Lytechinus pictus: one gene and its partners. The protein of the gene in region 3 binds, or shares a complex with, the protein of the main gene of each other region. Links are inferred from orthologs where the notes say so. Each region holds a gene or a part of one and is shown on either strand. Other genes may lie near its edges. The genes, in order: protein prenyltransferase alpha subunit repeat-containing protein 1-like, synaptobrevin homolog YKT6-like and geranylgeranyl transferase type-2 subunit beta-like.

The links.
Region 1: the proteins of geranylgeranyl transferase type-2 subunit beta-like (region 3) and protein prenyltransferase alpha subunit repeat-containing protein 1-like are in contact, whole or in part, in a crystal structure (PDB 6O60), measured with the Homo sapiens proteins. The link is inferred for Lytechinus pictus from reciprocal best matches to the Homo sapiens genes RABGGTB and PTAR1. Residues at the interface, in NP_004573.2 of Homo sapiens: Lys6, Asp36, Tyr37, Cys40, Met41, Glu43, Tyr44, Ile89, Gly90, His91, Asp92, Asp136, Trp138, Glu140, Phe177, Asp178, Gly182, Cys183, Arg184, Pro185, Gly186, Ser187, Glu188, Ser189, His190, Gln193, Trp217, Glu221, Arg222, Pro225; in NP_001093136.1 of Homo sapiens: Val61, Lys62, Leu65, Pro66, His69, Leu73, Arg76, Leu97, Asn98, Asp100, Phe101, Thr102, Thr103, Asn106, Lys109, Glu110, Leu113, Ile141, Arg144, Trp145, Pro192, Ser193, Tyr195, Ser199, Ile202, Trp203, Gln206, Val231, Ser232, His234.
Region 2: the proteins of geranylgeranyl transferase type-2 subunit beta-like (region 3) and synaptobrevin homolog YKT6-like are in contact, whole or in part, in a crystal structure (PDB 6J7F), measured with the Homo sapiens proteins. The link is inferred for Lytechinus pictus from reciprocal best matches to the Homo sapiens genes RABGGTB and YKT6. Residues at the interface, in NP_004573.2 of Homo sapiens: Thr3, Pro4, Gln5, Lys6, Asp7, Ile9, Lys11, Tyr37, Leu45, Trp52, Leu236, Asp238, Cys240, Arg281, Gly283, Asp284, Met285, Asp287, Phe289, His290; in NP_006546.1 of Homo sapiens: Lys60, Gln62, Asp63, Leu65, Asn83, Glu84, Tyr85, Pro86, Ser87, Leu153, Asn155, Thr156, Glu158, Arg189, Lys190, Cys194, Cys195.

The regions. Positions count from the first base shown.
Region 1 is NC_087249.1:4,778,176-4,785,261, reverse strand, and holds the start of protein prenyltransferase alpha subunit repeat-containing protein 1-like, read right to left. Parts: upstream 3,092-7,086; 5' UTR 2,974-3,091; coding exon 2,900-2,973; intron 1,436-2,899; coding exon 1,281-1,435; intron 264-1,280; coding exon 188-263; intron 1-187.
Region 2 is NC_087256.1:1,625,102-1,632,515, forward strand, and holds the start of synaptobrevin homolog YKT6-like, read right to left. Parts: upstream 3,030-7,414; 5' UTR 2,613-3,029; intron 1-2,612. UniProt on the Homo sapiens protein: Vesicular soluble NSF attachment protein receptor (v-SNARE) mediating vesicle docking and fusion to a specific acceptor cellular compartment. Functions in endoplasmic reticulum to Golgi transport; as part of a SNARE complex composed of GOSR1, GOSR2 and STX5.
Region 3 is NC_087259.1:24,339,053-24,346,444, forward strand, and holds the start of geranylgeranyl transferase type-2 subunit beta-like, read right to left. Parts: upstream 3,066-7,392; 5' UTR 3,056-3,065; coding exon of another isoform or gene 2,926-3,055; 5' UTR 2,918-2,925; coding exon 2,786-2,917; exon of another isoform or gene 2,439-2,785; intron 1,764-2,438; coding exon 1,656-1,763; intron 226-1,655; coding exon 28-225; intron 1-27. Other genes in the region: calcium channel flower homolog, read left to right, coding at 2,926-3,055, 4,747-4,819, 5,883-6,008, 6,977-7,084. UniProt on the Homo sapiens protein: Catalyzes the transfer of a geranylgeranyl moiety from geranylgeranyl diphosphate to both cysteines of Rab proteins with the C-terminal sequence -XXCC, -XCXC and -CCXX, such as RAB1A, RAB3A, RAB5A and RAB7A.

The DNA of each region.
Region 1 (7,086 bases), on a different chromosome or scaffold from region 3:
AACCTCAGGTTAAGATTTGGTGTTGACGCCGCCGCCGCCGTCGCCGTCGCCGTCGCCGTCGCCGTCGGAAAAGCGGCGCCTACAGTCTCACTCTGCTATGCAGGTGAGACAAAAATCTCATATCTTTCTCCTTGATAGAATAACATTTATATTGCATGTACTGACTACTAAATGGACTTAAACTCACCGTAAATTCCATACTGTGTAACAATCTGGATTGAGTAAAAGCACAGCACAGCTGAATTCATGCACAGACTTCAAATCTGTCAAGTAGTCACAGAAGAGAGAGAGAAAGGGACATAACATAAAAAAATGTTGCACTTCTGCTAAACCAAAACTCTCCTGTATTGTCAATTGTATGGGAATGTTAAAATCTTAATCAATCATTCTGCTGTTTTTACAGAAGACTACACTCATGGTCATACACATCCAGCCTGTACACATCTGCCAACAAGAAGATGACTTTAAAGGAAATTTCCTTTATTGTTTATTAATCTATCTATTTTCAGACAAACTAGAAAACTGAGGATACCATGTACTTTTTTACAGTCTAAAAGGAAATTACAGAAAGAAAATACCTGCTAAGTATTAGGTACCTCTCAAAATACGCAAACTTCTGCAGGGATTTTTCTAAGACCGCTGTTGTTCGACCAACAGAGATTTCCTTCTGACTAATTCTGCTTGATTAAGAACAAGTATGATGGGGCTTTTACATGGAACTTACTTGACTCTGTCTCATGCATGCACTCTTCTCAATACTAATCAGGGTTAGCCTCAATGGGAAATCATAGTGGTAAATGCCGGTAAATGCCACCTCAATATTTTTTTTGGAATATTGGAAATAGTTGGAAATACTATGAAATAAATGTATATATACTTCTTGAATATTTTCAGGTATTGCCCAGGTGTTTCTCAAGCAAATTCTAGCATTTCCAAATTTTCCATGTACCTCCCTGTAGGATGGGGGTGGGGTGGTCAGACACTTCAAAATTTTGAAGCCTTCTTTTTTTTTGTCATTGGAATACACAAAATATGAACTGAATAGTTGTAATCTTCTTCAATTTTGTTCTCTATAATATTTCATATCACTTTGTACTATAAAACTGATGTAGCTTTACCAAAAGGCTGTTTAAACTTGATTGTCCGGACACACAACAACTGGGTATACATCTTACATGTAGATACCTCCTCGGATTTTACTACTTTTTCCCAGTATTTCCCAATCTAGGTGAGAAATACCTAAATTTGCTAACACTGTTTCCAATGCTGATAATAAATACCTTTAACTGTTGTACTCTTCTTCATTAGGTTGCTGTAGACAAATTTGAAGAGGAGATTAATGCTCCATGTTTGCAGCCCCAGCTTATGATTCTCGAGCACAACAGGACTTCTATTAACTACGGGTTCAGGACAATAGATGAAGTCAAACTCATCACTAAAAAGAACAAAAATAGTAAAATCAGAAGCTGAATTACTAAATATCCATTCTTGAAAGAGGGGAATATTTGGCAAAGAGTCCAGTGGTATTTAACTAGCAAGCAATTTAAACTCTGTGATATCTCAGTATCTGATATGCCCTTTTATTGTATTTACCCAAACTGAAAATAGGTTATAGTAGAACTAGCAGGGAGAAATAGGTGCAAATTACAAAATTAATGTACTTGAGAATAAAACAAAAAGCACTCACTCTAAAGCGAGGTTGTATATAGACAAACCTCGCTCAGTGAATGTCCCATGACTTGATTTTCAAAAAGTCCGCAAAGAATGCTTAAATAGTAGAAATATTTGCCAAAAATCGGTCTATTTACAACTGAACAAACATTGACAGTATTAACATTTACAATGGTAATTTTGATTTTTTTTTTAATGAGAAAATGATTTTTTTAAATCGCTTACCTCAATTTGGTCGATGGTTTTAATGAGATTTGACTGTAGAGAATATGTCCTGCAGGGACTGATTATAATTATGAGGGGAACAATAAAAAGCTCTCCTAAAGCAGTAGGGGAGCACTGCAAAAAGCGCTTCTTAAAGAAGTTCTTTGACATATTACTAGGGACAGTGATTTTCCGCGATCGCGGAAAACGGACGGAATGCACAGAAAGGGCCTTTTGAAAGGAAAGTGGCACTTCAAACGGAAAACATATTTTTCCTCAAAATACACAGAACAGCAACAGAAATTACTCCAAAATCTCAACAAAATATGAATATTACATGGCCACAAAACCCAAGAAAACATGATCTCAATTCGCTACAATCATGACAATTCACACATTGTGACTGGATTGGAGTCTCCTATATTGGCCCACTCACACGTATTGCGAGGTTAGTATTAGTATACTAACCTCGCACCACGAACCGCGTTTGGCAGTGGATTTCTAACTAGTGGGTCGCGCGTGCTGGGATCTCACTTCTTGGGTCCACAACAAACGACTTCTATGGCTTGAATTTTCTGTGCGCGGCGGCATGTAATGAACCCTTGGGTGATATTGGCCGTGCCGTGCGCCTCTTCTGTAGAAAATCGTTACAAGAAATTTCGAAATGACGAAAAAATAGACACAAATTTGTGGGGAAAAAAAATCATAAAACGGGTGGGACAACTCGGCCCGCGATGTTCCGAGGTCCAAGTTGTCCCGACCCCATTGTTTATTGACCTTTAAATGTGACTGAGAGACTTTCTGGAGGGGAAATTATTTGCTCGAAGTCGGCCGGTGCGAAACTGCATTAGCGCCGACAGCTCAGCAGCGCATTCCTACATAACTGCAGCTGTTCCAGAGCCAGTGGTAGTGGCAGTATAACGCTGCTAGCACTGCCTGTGCCACTGCCACTGGCGCTTCTTCATTCCACCGACACCAGGGTGCGAAAGCGCACTAGCGAAAATTTGGGCCAACAAAAACTTACATTTTAGGATCTCGACGAAGAGCACTGCTTAGATCCGCCAATATCCTCCTTGGTCGACTATCGTCTCCCATCATTAAAGTCAAAGTGGTTACAAAATTAGAAACATATCAGCAAGATCTTCAGCCGGAATTGGTGTCCCAAGTTAAAATACCGAGAAGGATTCTGTTTTGTTATGTGGTATACAGTGTCTGCAAAAGCACAAACAAGATACGGAATACAGAGGGTTTTTTGTTATGGGGGCCGGGGCTGACCATGAAAAAAAAAACATAATCAGATGGTATTTTTTACGTTTCTTTATGCGTGTGTGTAAGTGGGTCCGTGACCCCTATATATTCTGGAGCCGTTATACGGGGGAGGGACTTTGGGGAGGAGGGGGATCGACATAGGCGGATCCAGGGGGGCCAAGGGGCCCAGGCCCCCCCCCCCCCCTATTGGTGGAGCAAAAAATGAAAGAAAAAGGGGGGAAAAAAAAAAAGGAGGGAAAAGAGAGGAGAAAAAAGAAGAGAAGGAAGACGAATTAATGAAATGAGATGAGGGGAAGGCTTGGAAAATAAAAAGAATCTTTCATGTCACTATATAAAATTTTCGCTCGCGCTCGCATTGCCTGTTAGGTGACTTTATCTTGTTCAATATGGATCGAGCTTAAATATACAATTTACAAAACATATTTCACCTCGGAAATCGAACTTTCATTATTTGTGTGTTTTTTTTTATATTGATTTTTAAAAAGTGCTCTGTAAAACTGTCAGTTTTATGGTCTGAATATTAACATTTTCTACTCGTTTTCAAAGTATACATCCCTTGCAGCTAGGTCTGATTGTCAAAACGTACTAGCTAGCACTGCACGATCGCATTTTGATTGGCAAGTTATGTATATCTCAATATTGATTACAAAACTAATTACTTAAAATCCCCTTTTGATGAGTTTATCAAAAATTTTGGCTCGCGATTTGCGCTCGCATCATGGTTAGAAATATATTAACTGATGCATCCTATATTCATATATAATTACAAAAGTGCTTGAAATGTCCAGGTTTCAGGCCATAATATCAGATTTCACGCCCTAATTAGGCATATTAGATTAATAAATAAGATATTAATCTAATAATTTAAATGTCCCTGTTGTTTCATCTCGCGCTTAGCAAGAGGAATAGGAAGATAGTCATCATTTTTTTATAATTATGATGACATGTCCTAAGGAATTCAGAGTAATAATAATGAAAAATATCAGCTCTTGATTAAGTGTGATCCATATCCACCTCACAATTTTCCTACAAAGTGCTTGAAATATATAGAGCTAAAATACATAAAATTCAAAAAATTTAGCTTGTGCTTCGTGCTCGCATTATATAATTAAGAATTATATTATATATTTATGTTGATTTATACAGAAGTGACTATTAGGACTACCCCTTCAAAGAAACCAAAAATCATCTTCGAGCGGCCGATCGGGGAAAATATGGCTGAAAACCAGCCTAATTAAGCCTGCAGCTATATAGCCGCACGATATTCGGGGGGGCCCGGGGTGTGGTTCATTAGTATAAATGTATACGTATGAATGTGCCGTGGTTGAAACCCCCATTTTCAGCCTAAATTTCTGTTCTAGAGCAGAGCATTGCATGCTGCTAAACAGACAAACACAGATTTTATGCAGATGTCCTAGAGTCGTACATCGATCAGTCAGGGATTTCATTTATTAATTTTAACATTTTTATTTATTTCTTGGATTGCTGTCCAGTCTTCATTGGTAGTGATCAATGGAAGGTGGCTCAATTAAGGACCTTCCACAGTTAAAATGAAATAATCCATGTCATTTTCACCAAATTCTGCACAGAGTTACTTCAGCACCTACATGTAAATATGCCATATATGCAAAAATTAACATGGGTTCATATGTGCTTGATTTTTTGCTATTTCGAGCGATGAAGTTCACTGTTTTGAAAGGTCTCGAGAAATACTAATTAAATAGTATTTATACATATTCTATGAGATCTCAACGTTGAGTTTGATACCTCTATTACCAGTAGAAATCTATCTATATTTCACCAAATTTTATAGTTTAGAATTAAATCCCGCACTCAAATTGTTTTTTGTTTGCTCTTTAAAGAGTAGCAGCACCTTCAATTTTGAAAATAAGGTGTGAAAGACAACAAAAACATATCTTAAAAATTTGAAATTTATATAACAGATTTTATGAAGTACAATAAATGCTGCACTTTATTCAAAACCCATGTCATTTTCACCAAATTTTGCATGGTTGTAGAGAAAATTAAGTATACTAATGAGGTGTGTGAACATTCAGTAAAAATTGGGCGTTCATGAATGTGCTTGTTTTCAAACTATTTGCACATTTGTTGGAGCAAATGTGATTTTAAAAACACAAAATATGTTTTAAAAGGCTTGTATCTACATAAAGGAAAACTCTTCACCATTATCCCATTTAATCGAACTCGAGGTCATATTCGTCATACTTTGCAGCACTGCAGAGTGATAAAGTATTGTGAAGAGGTAGTAGAAGCATTTAAAAGTTTGATAGATTATTTTCAGCTAATACTCAAGATTTGCAGTTAGAATGTCAATGACTGGAAAAATCAGTTGATATCTCAATCTGTAGCCGATTACACACCTGTTCATTTATTGTGACGTCAACGTGCTTGCCAGCGGGGATGCGTACAGATGCTTGGGAATGTCCTTAAAATTCTCTATTTCATTGCAAAGAATATGAAAGGGCCATAATCAAGCAATATACCTAACATTATCAACATGAGTCAGCCTCTGGCTTTTAATGTGAGGTTTTGAAAGCAAAACTATTCATTAAAGGAGAAGTTAACCCTGACAATATTTTTATTGTACAAATTAGCAGAAAAGTATAAAATATTGCCAGAGTTTAGAGAAAATCCATTCAAGATTTGAAAAGTTAAATGACTTTATTTATTTCTACACAACTCCTACACCTAGGTTGAAAGGCAATTCAAAAGATTGGCAAATGATCAATTATATCTGGATAGACCAGAGTTATTATTATTAGAATGTACATTTGTTAATATATTATCAATTAGGAAGTCAGTAATGCATATCATTATCATTATCAAGTAAGTCTTTAATTTTGAAAAATTATGTTGTTTTTAATATTTCATGAATCTTGTTTCTCCCTCTATCCCATTTCTAGTTTTCTCCCCCCCCCCCCCCTATTGCTCTCTCTCTCTCTTTCTCATATCTATCTGTCTATCCATTTTTCTATTTTTTCTGATGTTTCTCCTAAGTTGTGTCTGGGATTCTATCTCCAAAAGAAAAATTTCAAACACAATTGTTTAATTTGATATTTTTGTACATGAATATCTTCATTTTATTGACATTTAAAAAATACCAGTCTCATGCCCATATGGAATGTGCTAGCTGATGTTGCGTAAAATGATACAACAAACAACATACGTTATTGCATGAATTCTTGCTTGGCAGATATCATGCGCACATGAAAGTACATTTGTAACTTCACAAGTGTATGATCTACATGTGTACATGTATTATGAAGGGGATAAAAAGTATCCTTTCTCCAGAATAAAATAAACCTGATCATATGATAGGATATAAACATGCATTCCTTACAGTTACATGTATTACAGTAGACATGTAATTCCTGTATTAGTGTCATAGAGATTCAAATGTCGCAGCACAAAGGTTTACAGAATTAAATAGCACCAGATATCTTCACAAAAACTTAGAGATTTCTTATTACAGAGCTTATGACAAGAAAGAGGACAATATATTTCTTTGTTGAAGTAATATCTACTCAAACGTTTCTACAAAGGTAAGCTTAAACAAAGCTATAATTTAATAATAGTTTAACAACACCAACAAAGATTTTCATTTCATTTATTGCAAAATAGCATTCAAACAGTTCTTGCTGAGTTTTTAAGACACATTTAACATTCATCACACAAGGTCAAGTCTGTTACATGACTATCAATACTTGTATTCTCTTCAACTGTTAACCGCTAACAATAATTTGTGAAATGAATTGTGCATGCAACTGAATATTAAATGTGTCTGATTAGCTCATCAAGTATGATGCTTAGGAACCAGTATTCATGTAAGAAATACTTGAGGGCGACAGGGGATTTTGCCCTCATGATGACCAAAGTTGCCCATAATTTTCCCTGAAAGAATGCTTTGGGGCCATCTATCTT
Region 2 (7,414 bases), on a different chromosome or scaffold from region 3:
CTTTGCATCGAAACCTTTAATAAAAATAAAAAAATAATAATAAAAATCTGCTGTGTATGGTGTGAACAAACAAGCACATATTAACTAGTTTTGGGCAATAATCATGGTAAATGTCCTCACTTTTTCAGAAATTATTGTGATTTGAAAAATTTGGGGATATACATGTAGATTCCAATTGGTGGAATTTTCGAGTGCCTTTTGCGGATTTTCTTCAGCTTGGACCTGGGAACACTGTTCATGATCAATATACAAATACATGTAAGGTGTACCAATTGAATCACTTTAGAAACAAAAATTATCATAAAATGATGATCTATACCTTTGTAAGATAGTTAGTTAAGCTTGATTCAATATAATTAACATTTATCAAGGCTAAGGGTTGCGCAAATGCAGTTTTGCATCGGCCAACTTCAAGCAAATTTCCCCACCAGTAATTCTTTGCAAATATCATAGCAAGTCTCTCATCACATCAGGAACGGAAATGAAGACTTCTCCTGTAGATTTTCTGGTCTTTACTTTGGGTATTTTACAAGTATATCTATACAGCTTGAACTTATGAATCTTTACATGCGTTGAGAAATAGAGGTTTTCAATCCCCCCCACCAGAACTTGTCCGACAGATCTTTAAATCTTTTCACTGATTCCACTGATTTAGCTTCCACTACTTCTGTAGGCAGTTTGTTCCAATCAGAAATTATACTTTGGCTAAAAAATGTACTTCTAGTTCTAAGTTCCAACCGAGATCGTCGTATGAAAAGCTTGAACTTGTAACCTCTTGTTGCTGAGTGCATTGCTGGTGTGAAGAATGTGTCACTAGAGATCCCCAACTTTCCATTTGACAGTTTATAAACAGTGATCATATCTCCCCTTCATCTTCTATAAAACAGTGAGTGAAGGTTGAGTCTCTCTAGACGTTGCTCATAGTTAAAATCTGGAGACCAGGAATCATGCGAGAAGCTCTCTTTTGCACCTTCTCTACTTTGTCTGCATCCATTTTGAATCTCACATGCCATAAAATGTTCCCATATTCCAGATGAGGTCGAATCAGACTTATAAACAAAATTGGTAATATTTCAGAGATTATTTGAGAAAAAGTTCTGTGTATTATTCCAAGTATTTGGTTAGCTTTCAAAACAGCTGCTGAGACTTGTTGATTAAAATTGAGCTCTTCATCCACAATGACACCAAGATGATCTTGGTGTCATTGTGGATGAAGAGCTCAATTTTATTGAGACAATAATAATTACTATTACAATAGTAATTATTATTAGAAAGTGATTATAATGATAACAATTATAATTATAATGATAATTATAATTGTAATAATTATTGAGACAATATTATTAATTAGACATCAATAATTATTATTATAAAAATAATTATAATTATAATAATCATAGCCCTTATAATTATTGAGACAATAATAATTATTATTACAATTATAATTATTATAAATAATTATAACAATTATAATAATGATAGTAATTATACATTTTGTAATAATTATTGAGACAATAATATTAATGAGACATCAATAACAATCATTATTATAATAATTATAATTAAAATAATTATAATTATGTAGGCCTTATCATTATTGAAACAATTATAAAATAATTATGATAACAATTATGATAGTAATTATAATTGTAATAATTATTGAGAATAATATTAATTAGACAATAATTATTATTATATTATAATTATTGATATTATAATTATGATTATAATTATAATTCTAACAATAATTTTGACAACAATGATGAAACAATGATAATGAGACAATACTAATATTTAAAATATTATTGAGACCATAATAACAATAATGCGATAATCATAATAAATAATTGAAATTAATCTGACTTTATTTTTTTCTCTAAAAATTCTGAGATTATTATTTGAATTCTCTTTCTTTTTATTTCAAATTATATTCATTGAAAATTTAATTTCTAATGTTCAAGCAAAAGAAATCCATATCAAGTCATGTTTACCCTGTGCACAAACCTACCAATGAGTACCAGTACCACAGGACAATTAGTACCCCGAAATAGGGTTAGGTGTAGATTTTTGGATGGGGTACCGTGTAGTTGTCCGGGGGGGGGGGGGGGTAATCGTCCAGGGGTAGTCAAAATCATTGCAAAAAAGCTTTCAAAATATTTGTACATTCCCCATAAGCTATGCATTATAATATAAGTGTGCCATGCCCAAAACAAAGAGAATAATAAGATTACGGCCCTGGATTACGCAATCATCTTTTGTCCACAAAAAAGTCATTTTGTATCACAAAGATGACAATAACTCGATTTCTAGAAGTCGGAATTTGAAAATTCAAACAGATTGTGAATCGTAGATATTGAGCCTCATTTATTGTGAGCATAAAAAACATGCTGGAAGTGGAAGTGGAACAGCCTTTCCTAATTTTCACCTGAAGACTGCCTACTGCCCCTGGTAGGGAAATTTGCTTGATTGAAAGTTGAAAAAAAAAATTGAACTTGAACTTTGAAGTTGAGGCCGGCCGATGCGAAACTGACTCAGTGACTGTCTTATTTTATACGCTGTCGCCTCCTCCCCCTCCCCCTTCCCCTCCAATCTCCATGCCGTCTGAAACTTACCCTGACCTTTTTTTCCGTTCAGTTCAGTTTATCTTCTGAGCTGACTCGTCACTGCTTCCACTCCAGTTCACGTTCCACTGACAGTACTGTTCCACTCTCACTCAGAGCCTCTGTTAGTTGTCGTTCATCATTACAATTTACACTCACACTGCACTTGACCATGGAGCCTGAGCAGTGGAGGTAGAAACTAACGTAACGTTAGAATGACTTGACTATTTCTCTTTCTCTTCTGACTAATCACTGGGCACGTCACGTCGCAGATCGTTCAATTCACTGTCACTTCTCTTGTTTGGAATCAGATGGGTGGTCTCGTAGCGAAGGACGGTGATAACGATGGATTTGTAGCTTCTTCTGTCAACGTTTATGAGCGATTACTCATTTACGCCGTACTGTGCGGTTTTTCTAGCGACCATTAGCGCATAATCCTGAAAATATCAGACCTAAAAATCGATTTATTATATTATGGTGTCTACAAAAGAGCAAACAAAAATAATAAAAAGTGTATTGATATTAGACTTCACACACCCTTCTAAACTAGGAAAGTGTAGCTAATGTAGTTCAGCAGAGCAGTCAATGGTACCCGGGAATGGTACACAGACTTAAGTTTATGGTCTAGTTGATAAATGTAAAGTCCACCCCAGAAAAATGTTCATCATCATCATCATCATCAGTGTACGGAAGAAGAAGGCAAGCCTGATGTCGAGACTTCCGGTCGTTCCTTTTGATAGTGCTTGTTCCAACTTGACTATTTTAAATGACTTGTAGATTACATGCATGCATGTTGCGTGGAGGGTGGACGGATATTTATTTTTTTTTATGTAGGGGAGAATTTGATGATGGCAAGACCAATGTTTGTCCAGCCTGTGTTTGAAGGACTCAATGTTGATTTGAATAAATAGAGAAATCAAACAAGCGGCGTAACAGTGAAAATTTCATCAAAATCGGATGTAAAATAAGAAAGTTATGACATTTCAAAGTTTCACTTATTTTTCCTAATTATATGCACAACTCAGTGATATGCAAATGAGAATGTCGATGATGTCCATCACATTTTTAATGTTTTTTTTGTTTGAATTTACAGATATGACAAAAAGGACCACACCGTCTCTAAAGACAAACCAGTCAAAAATGACTTAGGGTCAGCTGCAGTGGGTGCAACTGTTATTCTAGTCATATTTGAGTTTTTTCTAGTCGTATTACTAGAACAGAGTTATTTCGATATGTCAGAAATGTGATAATCATTTATTTTCATATCAGTTGCACCCAGCCGCTATACTGGTCTAGTCAATCATGATTTGTTTTAAGAGTGTAACTTGACTGAACCATAAAAATGTTAAAACAATGGCAATTCCACATGTTTATGAAGGAATTTGATACACAGAACAATTAATGAGACGAAAATTAAAATATTTCATATAAAAAAATACAAAGGAAATAGTGAATGAGTGACGCAATCAGTTCCCTCATTTGCATACAGACCAGAATGCACATATAACTATTTTGTGAAATTAAAAGAAAATCATAAAATGTCGTAACTTTCTTAATTTACATCCGATTTTGATGAAATTTTTAGTGTTGTGCTTGTTGGATTTTTCGTTTTTTCCTTTATTAACTTTTTATTGGGATGGACTTGTCCTGAGCCCAATGCGTCAGGCAGGCGCGGATCCAGGAGGGGGCCGAGCCGGCCCCCCCCCCCTATTTTTTGACAACCTGCAGAAAAAGTGTACTATAGGAAAAGCACTAAAGAAAAGTAGGAAAGAGGTATCATACCCAGGATGTGTAGTTTACAACCTCGTAACGGCCGGCCCGACCCCAAAAGGAAACAAGAAAAGGGTGAGGGGAAGAATTGGAAAAAAGAACTTTATATAAAAAATTTCGCTCGCGCTTTGCGCTCGCATTGCCTGTGCCAATGAATCCCATTCAAGAGGATTAAATGACACTTATATATCCAGATCTGAAATCAATTTGCACACAATATTTTAGCTCGCACATCAAGCTTTAATTATTTTGTTTGTTTTACACAAATTGTTTATATCAAAATTTTCAGCTCGCGCTGCGCGCTCGCATTGTTTGATTTGTGAGTTACCTATCCTCTTTGGAAATTCTTACCAAAATTTGTCAAAATGCTCCTTTATCATGTCAGTATATAAAAAAATTGAGCTTGTGCTTCGCGCTCGCATTTTATTGTTTGAGACACACAGCTTTTTCTGTATTTAAATAAAAACGCGCTTAGACTGTCCAGTTTTCAGGTCGGAATATCAAAAATTTTGAGCTCGCGCTTCGCACTCTCATTATTTAATTGGTGATACTTGTATCCTCTTCATTAATCAATAAAAACAGTCCTAATTGAGTCCCTTTTCACGTTACTATGATAAAATTTCGGCTCGCGCTTCGCGCTCGCATTGTTTAGTTGGATACTTATCTTTTTCATGATTATAAAATCTCCTCAGAATCTTCAGGTCTAAGGACATAAAATATCAAAGAATTTGAGCTCGTGCTTTGCGCTCGCATTATATATTAAGACCACATGATATACCTTATCTAGTTTATAACAATAAAAACTAACATATACTTAAAACTTCAGTCTCTATTTAGGACTACCCCCTGAACCCCCCCCCAAAAAAAAAAAAAAAAAAAAAAAAATCAGATTATAGCGGCCAATCGAGAAAAATGTTGATGAAAATATTTTTCGGCCCCCCCCCCCTATTGGCGAAAGCTGGATCCGCCCCTGTCAGGGGTGATAATTTTTGCCGTGGGCCCTATTGCACAATCCCCCCCCCCCCTACGCCACCCGCGAGGCCCCCTCTATATGATACAGAGGCAATGTACAGAGGCACTCCTACAAATGGGGTTGGACAATAAACTCACGATATGCGAAGGACACTTTACCGAAATCCCGCATGAATGTATCTTGAGTGTTAGTTATCATTAAATCCTCATAATGATAGGCATAGCTCTCATATTGATACATTTTGATTTTTAGCAATTGAAATTTTTAAATTATGAACATTGTGAGCGAAGCAATAGAAAATAAATCAAATCTGACAGTATCTCATCTAGAAAAGAGGACATTTCCCGTCTTTTGCACCTTTTTGAAGACACACTACAAGCTCTTTCATATTTCTGTGGTGATCGGGCGCTAATTGGTCGCTTGCGTGGGCGCAGCGCTAGCGGTCGACACGTCATTCTGAATGACTCATAATATTTTAAAGGTCTACACTAGAATTTGTGTACTTGAGGGTAGTTGCCAACTAAAAATTATATTCACAAATCAATATAATGCGGCCTGAATAACTCATGCTAGATTATAATCACGTAAAAATATAATTTATAGGTTTTAAATATTTAAAATAATATAAAAAACAAAATTGTTATATAAGTATTAAACAGATCTAAGTCTAAAAAATAAATCTCTAACGTTATGGTAGAGATTTTCTTCCAGGATGATCGCATTCATGTTATTGTTATTGCTCGCGCTACCTACACAAGGCTCACCGCCTATTGCTGGGGGACCCACCGGACTGTACCTGATGACAGCGCCGGGCAAGCCCCGTGCTCCAGAAGGCCACTATCCGCTGCTTTATCCCTGCCGCGCCTTCGGCCGGCCTTCGTCGTGCGTGTCTTTTTGGCAAGCAAGTGAATAGGTGAATATCGTAATGGCAAATTTCCTTTTATCAAATGAAACAATGAAGGAGTCATTCGGCAGGCAGGCCATTAGCATTGCCTAGACCAGTAGAGGCGCTGGTCCAAAAACTGGGATTGTCCCAGAAAACAAGGATATCCTCATAAACCAAGACAAATCATGTCTTGATAAATTGAGACTGTCCTTGTTTATGGGGACGTTTTTTTTTCACTTCTCCCTACGGGACAAAGACAGCAATTACGGAAATTGAGAGTGCTAAAAATAGATTCAGTGACCTCAATTCCCCCCAGTTCGCCGTCTATTTTTCATGACTTACCGTCTTCCAATAATCTTGTTATGAAACCTGATATGTTTACATTGACTAGCACACTTGATTGGTGTCGGCACTTGACAGGTGAATGAACTTTCCTAGATTTCTTGTGTGAAGAAATCCTTATAAACTGAGACAGTCCCTGTATTCTGGGACGATCCCAATTTTCTGACCAGCGCCTCTACTGTAGACAGCTGGCAGCCGTCTGTTTCGATGAGTTTTTAAACATTTTTTTCTTCTCCTTGTTAAAGTTAAACAGACGGCTCGCGGTCGTGCAGTTGCCATTACTTTGTCTTTAGGCTGATAATAGGGGGTTAACAATGCAATCATGGCAAAATCCCCTGATATCTATTTTAAAGCAAAATATATTATCACACAATTCGGGAGATGTTTTCGGGGCAAGCCTGCTTGAAGTTGATGACCCCAGGCCCCATATTGTCTTTTTGAGGCCCTTTTTTTTTATACATGAATGCTTGAAATGTAACATTTAATTACATTTTCATCATTTTTTTACTCAGAATATTTTAGTTTGTAGTTGTGTTATTATATGCTGGGTTGTATGTTTTCTCAATTGTTCATTTTTAAAGATTAAGGGAAACTGCTTTGACTTGGGAACATACACACACCATGAATATCACGATGATAATTGATACATCAGACAGTCCAGCATATATCTGATGTGCAAGTAACCCAGGGAGCTCCGGCCCGCACAGCGGGCCGGAGCCCAGGGGCTTACCGTGTATTTGACCATACTAAAAAAAACGAAAAGTTCTCTCCTACCCCAGTCTCGATCGGCCATTTTGTTACGATTCATAACAAAAATGGCCGATCGAGACGGGGGTAAAAGAA
Region 3 (7,392 bases):
GACGGTTTCACCAAACAGGTCCCTCACCTGTATTGCACTTAAGGTGTAGAGAAGATGGGGGTCGTGCCCAACACTGGCACCAAATCCTCCACATTCATGCTGGCAGCTGACGATGAATTCAATGATCTCCTGTTTGTCCATTCGGTCAAGCTGACCCATCAGATCCATGACAGTGATACCCCAGTACATGCCACTCATCCTTAGGTATTCAGTCATCACATACTCCTGTTATATTATATTACATAAAAAATGTCATTTTATTAAAGGGGAATCCAGCATTGGCAATAAAATGCTGTGTTGGGAAGGAGAAAAATAAATTAAACAGAATGGTTAAAGTTTGAAAGAAATCGGACAAGCAATAAGAAAGTTATAGCTGCTTTAAAATTGAGATCACTAATACTATGTAGATTTCAAATGGGCAACCTGGTAAGTAAATTATGACAAGGGGCAAGGACAACTTTCCCATAGGCCAAGTACTTTATTATCAGGGATTCGTGGTTTTCTCCTAAGTACTCATTCCCCTGGGGCAGTAATCTAAATATAACCCAGGAAGTATATTGTTTTATGTCCTCATGAAACAAAAATATAATTTGAAATAAAACTTTTGGGGAAAATGACATTTTAGCCATAATATGTATTGGAGTACATGGAAGAGTAGTCCTTGCCTTACATCATTATGACATCCCATATGTGGCCAATTTGAAGTCTCCATGGGTATAGTGATTACCAATATATACAACCTTTAAAAGTTCATAACTTTCTTGTTGTTTGTCCAATATTGTTCAAACTTTCACCTATCAACTTGTCTGATTTTTCTTTTCCTTATAAAAACAAGTTTTATTTGGGTTGGATTCCCCTTTAAACATATCATCATCCAATAACAAGGTGGTTCATAAACCACAAATCTCTTCTTATTTTTGAGATCAATAAGATTTTTTGACCCCGAGATGACCTTTGACCCAATGATCATCATCAACACAAATGTGGTCTTACCCAAGGATTATTTGTACCAAGTGTAAACACAATTGATGCAGAAATAAGAAATAGAGCAAACTGAACAAAAACTTCAACATTTTTGTAACAGACCGATAGACTAACAGGAAAGTGATCACTAGGTCTCTGCCAAACTTTGTTCAGGCAAGACAAAAATTAAACAATCATCATTTTATGTACTAGAATGTACAAGTTATCAAATATAACAAAGATAAAGAAGGTAATATAAAAAAAATAAATAATGATGATGATGATGATAATGATGACGATGAAGAAGATGATGATGGTGATAATGATGATGATGGGATGGTGTTTATGGTGAAGATGATGACTATGAATTATATCAATATAATTACCTACTAGGCATATATGTAATTCCAAATACATGTAGCTAGAAGTATATGATAAATCTTTTTTTAAGTCAAAATGTTATGCACAGTATGCTATGACAAACTGCTATTTACAGAATTGCTTAGAAATTTTATTGAATTATGAGAACAAGAAATCTTTACCTTGAATATAACCATAAATTCTTTAAAATATCACATCCAAATCCTTAAAAAAATGACTACAAAAAGGCAATGTCAACAGAAATGTATTTTTCCAAGGCACGTTTTTAAATATTTGACTTTCATTGATAAAGCAAATCAATTGTTTCTTACATAATCATCTTTCTTAGAGCCATACTTGGCTATGTATTCAATATGTTTGTCCAAGAGGAGTTCCTTTGGCGCTGTTGGTTTTAAAGTTACATCTTTGATGGGGGTACCCTACGTAGAGAAAATATGGCGGAGAAATAAAAGGTAGATGTTAAGACATTATCTCATGTGAATTATTCTCAGTTAGTTACCCCTGTGTGCTGGCAATGTTTTGCTTCAATTAATTATGACCGAATCAGTTAACTGTATCAAAACATTTCTATTCTCATTTCAACACACATGGGTTCATTTGAGGACAGGGTATATTCCCGTATTAGTAGCACATACTTGTAAGCATTATGGAGATTAACCTTTTTTCTTACAAACAACATCATTTTGGCATGATTAATATTTGCTTGATTGACAGAGAGTATAAAACTCTCTCATTTGAAACAATACAAAAATTCAATTCAATTACAATTCATATAAAAAGGAATGTAGAGAATTGAAAGAAAAATGTGTCCCAAAACTCAGATGCTTTAAAAATTGGATCTGTATCACTGATAGTAATTGTAATAATTGGAAAGCTGGGACACGGACAAAGTGGCAATGACATAAATATAGACACCATCTCAAAGACAAACATCATCTGATCACAATGCCATGGTTGGACAATGTCAATGTCATGTCATGTCTCATGACAATGACATCATAATAATGACATCATTACCACTTTTGAAAGTTTTAGTTTTAATATTCTAATAATGCATGCCATTAATTGCGCATCTGCAATAGTTAATGACCACTGAGTTTTGGAATTTCAAAATATAACTTGATCCCCTCCCCTCATCATGACTCATCCTAGTGTGGCAGTGACGACTGTCTACACCGTCCATGCACCAGTGCATCCTCTTCTGTGTGGGCCAATAAAAAGGTTAAAAGCCGTCGAAAAAAAAATCACACAACACAAACACACGACGTTCTGAATACATGGGACCAAAGGCAAAGCAAGGAAAAAACTACTATCATATTTTCGAATAAAGAAGTGCCAATTATACAGGGATAAAGTACTTAAGTTGTTACTCAACTGAAGACAGGACGCCTCTTCCAACATTTCATGATATCTATATTACAAATATAAGTTATAAACTTACCATTTCGTAAAATTGGTGAAGACGACAGGCAATATTTTTTTCAAGTATCACTTCTGCTCTTGATGACGTCATCAAAAAATATTGGACAAGCTGGCAGAGGCGAAAGTTCTTCTTGATTGCTGTTTTTTTCATACTTTAAGATGGCGGATACGTACAAAAGTTTGGGCAACGATGGCCAACCTCAGCAAGCATCACCTCCACCTCCACAAAAAGAAACGGGTTTTTGTTTCAGGCTTTTCGTAAGGATTGTTGCTTCTGTAGCTGGAGTGTGTAAGTTAATTAGCCATTGGCATTGTCCCACACATTCAACATCATGTTTGTGTGAAAATTGTGATTACTGATTGTGATTTTTTTTTTGTATTCGGATTCGCTGAGTGATATTGATCAGCAAATCCGAATAAAAAAAAAGTGCCTGTGAAAAGGGTACCTATCATTTTAACGTTAGTCTTATTGTTAGACATGGTCTAGATCCTAGTAAATAGATCCTGCGATTTTGATGATGATGATGGTCATGATGGTCATGATTGCATTGATGATTGATGGTGATGATGATTTTGATGATGATGTCGATGATGATGGTGATGATGATGACGATGACGACGACGATAATGATGATGATGATGATGACGACGACGATGATGATGATGATGATGGTTATGATGATGATTGATGATGAAATGATAAAAATGATAAAAATGATTTGATCTATTTCTTTTCAAAGAAGACAGCAGGTCAGAGACTAGACAGCTGGCAGCCGTCTGTTTCGAGGAGTTTTTTAACATTTTTTATTTTTTATTTCTCCTCATACACAGACGGCTCGCTATCGTGCAGCCACCATTAGGGGACTTACAATGCAAAATCCCCCCGTCGGGGCTCTTCAATTTTTGTCTTTAATGAATCAAACTTTTGAAAATTACCGCGACCGAAATGCAAATTAATATTCCCTCTTGGCATTAATTGCCAAAAAACGGGGAAAAGCAAGTTAAAAGGAACAAAAACAGTGACTTACCTCGGCTGTCGCGCAACTTCACTGCCCTGTATTATCCGAACTTAATACACATAAACATATGGCCATTGAGTCCCCTGTACAGATCGCGCTAGAACTTCGGTCTCTGTATTTGGTGAGTGAAGCCTACGGAGTTCAGCTGAACAACCAACATAACAGAGACCGAAGCTTTTGGTCTAGTCAGAGACTTGAGAGTTGGTGGACAAGGGTGTTTTTTTGTAATAAATCTTCTTGGAATTATGTATTAAAATGACAAAATGTCGGACCTGTATCATTGGTTTTTACATTTAGTGCCTTGACTTCATATACTCTACATGTAGTTCGAGTTATAGAATATAGATTATTATCCAATGCCATGGTGAACCCAAAAGAAGTAGTTTGGTCGGAGAAGAGTAGAGTGAAAACACAAACTTTAAGATAACTATTTTCCCTAATTGCAGTTCCGCAGCATTTTCGCCCTTCTCTGTTTATATGAATTCACAGGTAATGTTGGTTTTTATTTCCAATTCGTCTCATGCCAATTCGTCCAATTGCCAACTTGTGTGCTATCATTTGGTCTACCATCAGTATGTCCACTCATCACATGGTCTACTTTCATTTAGTCTAATGCCATTCCGTCTAATAACCAGTTGGTCTAATAGCCATTTAGTCCATATATACCATTTGGTCTAATTGGGCTAAGTGTTAAATTGTGCAAAATGAATGAAAATGAAATGGATGTTAGACTAACTGGTTATGAGACGAAATGGTCATAGACAAAATGGTGATTAGACGAAGTGATGATTGGACCAAATGGTTGTTAGACGACATGTTGATGGACGGAATGGCATTAGACTAAATGAAAGTATACCATGTGGTGAGTAGATGATTTGGCAGTAGACAAATAATTAGCAATTTAGCGTAATATTGTTGTTATCAAATATCTTATAATTCATTTTTACCTTTTGTATTTCAGTGGCTATTATTCTTGGACTGGTATCTATGATCTCAATCAAAGGACTGTGCATTGTTGCAGGTATCTACATCATGTGAGTAGCCACTCCCACATGAAATAAAATCATTGTGAATGGTCCTCTTTACTTCCTGTAACAATTTGTTCTTTATTAGACATATATTTGAACAGAGGCGTAGATCCATGTTTTGGGTGAAGGGGATGGGGGCATGCCAAATATATTTACAGAACTTTGCTTGACGATATTATTATAAGATTTATGATATTATTATACCGAGTTTAAGTGCTTTCCAACGCTTTTCGAAACATTTGCATTTCTTATGATATAATATTTCTCAAGTTAATTGTTATTACTTTTGGGGGGTGGGGGGAGTGGGAAAAATCAATATGTTTGTCCCCTCCCCCCAGGATCGATACCTTTGTATTTGAACACATGAGTTTGGCTTTCTGTAAAGCAAAAAATTACATATAAGAACTATAACTAGGCCCAACCTGTGGTTAGAACAAAAAATGTAATTCATCATTGTGTCTCCTTTCCACCTAGCTAGATTGCTGTGATTCATTTGCAACATGACCTGATATATTGCACAGCAAGTTTTGTACAAGTCTACAAGCCTATGTGCAATAGGTCACATTTTGATGCACCATGCAATACTCTGATATTTTTGATGCACTTATTCAAGGTCCTATAACTTGTAATTAGTAATATCTTAATTTCATTGCAGTTTAATGTAGGGAAGCATGTAGAAACACATAATATGCGGTGTAGATATGATTAAATTTATTGAAATTTTTATAAAGAAAGATTAAAAAAAAAAATCAATTTTGAACTCTATGAGGTGAGCTTGCATATTGCATCACATGCTATTTCTTCTTTGATGATACTTATTTATCACATTATTATTATTTTGAAAATACTTTGGAATTATTGTATTTCTTAGAGATCTTTGAATGTAATTTGTGTAATAAAGTACTTATTCTCATGACTTTGGAATTATTGTATTTCTTAGATCTGTGATTGTCATTTGTGTAATCAAGTACTTTTTCTCATATCGTATTTCTTGTTCATACGTCTGTTTACTCTGGTTGAACTTCAATTTCGAATAAAGCCTTTTCCTTTGAACCTCTTTTACGTTCAGGCTTCTTGGATTCCTGACGATTCTATTAGAAGCCCCGTTTTGCTGCCAGTTCCTTGACATCACAGACAAAGTCAGCAAATGGAGCGAAAACAGAGCTCCTTGGCAGAAGGCTCTCTTCTATCTCTTGTAAGTAGTGTACAAAGTCAACATTTTATAGTCAACTTTAATATGCCCAGAGTTAAGTAATTATTCAGGCCTTAGCCCTGTTGGCTGTAACATGCAGCTTAGAGATTGATTATTCGGCATATATGTATTATTGATTGCATTGATTATTTGAAATATCAGCCCCAAAATCAATCGCGATGCATTGCTTTTATGTTACAGAGCCTCGGACCCTGTAAACTTAAATTATTACAATCAATCTTAAATCCGAGCAAACCCTTAAAACCTTTGGAAAACCATGCACAAATAGTTCCAATTAACTGATTGTATCTATTATAATACAGGGCCCGGTTTATTCTACATCAAACAGATTACTCTGGTCCCAAATATATTTTTATTTTTATTTGATTTGATTCCATCACAACTCTTCAAAAGATTGGTCTCTCGAGAGCATATAATGATATGTGTTGTCAGTGTTTACTACTTTACTATAACACAACCTGGTATTGTGGGGTGCGCCTGTAATCCAAAGCTACATTATTTACGTGGGGAAGTTATGAATTGATGCAGAGCTTTGAGCTGCTGGGAGCATTTCATGAAAGGAGTTGAAGCACATATTATTCAACAAATTCTATATATCCAACAGTTACTATAGTAACCGTGTTTCTCAGCTAATCAAATTAAAGGAAAGTTGTCTGTTCTTACAACTTGTCAGACAAAGAATGTTGATGGAATGCTCCCCGGATATGTCTTTCAGAAGGTGATGTTGAAAGTCTGTCCAGACGTAAATTATCTGATTGATAAATATCTGTAAAAGCTCAATTATTGTTTATACACATACTTCATTCTCTAATTGTGATCTTGGTGTTTTCTAAAATTTCTAATTACTCGTCCAACCTTGTTTTATCCCTTTGTGCCACAAATAGTTTACTAGATAGATGGCGCATGATACATGGTGTGTTTATTTACTCTATGTATTTTGATCTCACCAGGTTACCTATTGTGCCGTTCTTCTTCTGCGTTGGAGTTAGTCAAATTTTTGCCTGCCTTGTAATCATGGCGACTGGCGTTCTCTATGGACTGGTGTTCATTGGAAAGAAGTAAGTTTGTTTAGTCTCTTTATCCCTTGTAACTCTCATATCTAGAAAAAAATTAAGCATTTGGGGAGGGCGGGGGGGGGGGGCTTTGCCAAATGATTCTGGTAGGAAATGTGTAATTGCTGAGAAATGGACGAAACAAGCATGGCATTCCAGCTAGCCTGGTAAGTGTCAAAGTCTTTTTTCTAACAATGATAATGCACTGCCCCACATGTGCCTTTCTGTGTCGGTGATCTTCTGTGTCATTTTTTTTTCTGCTTTGATATTATGATTTCACAGAGTTAAGTTGATGTAAACACTTGACTTTCTAG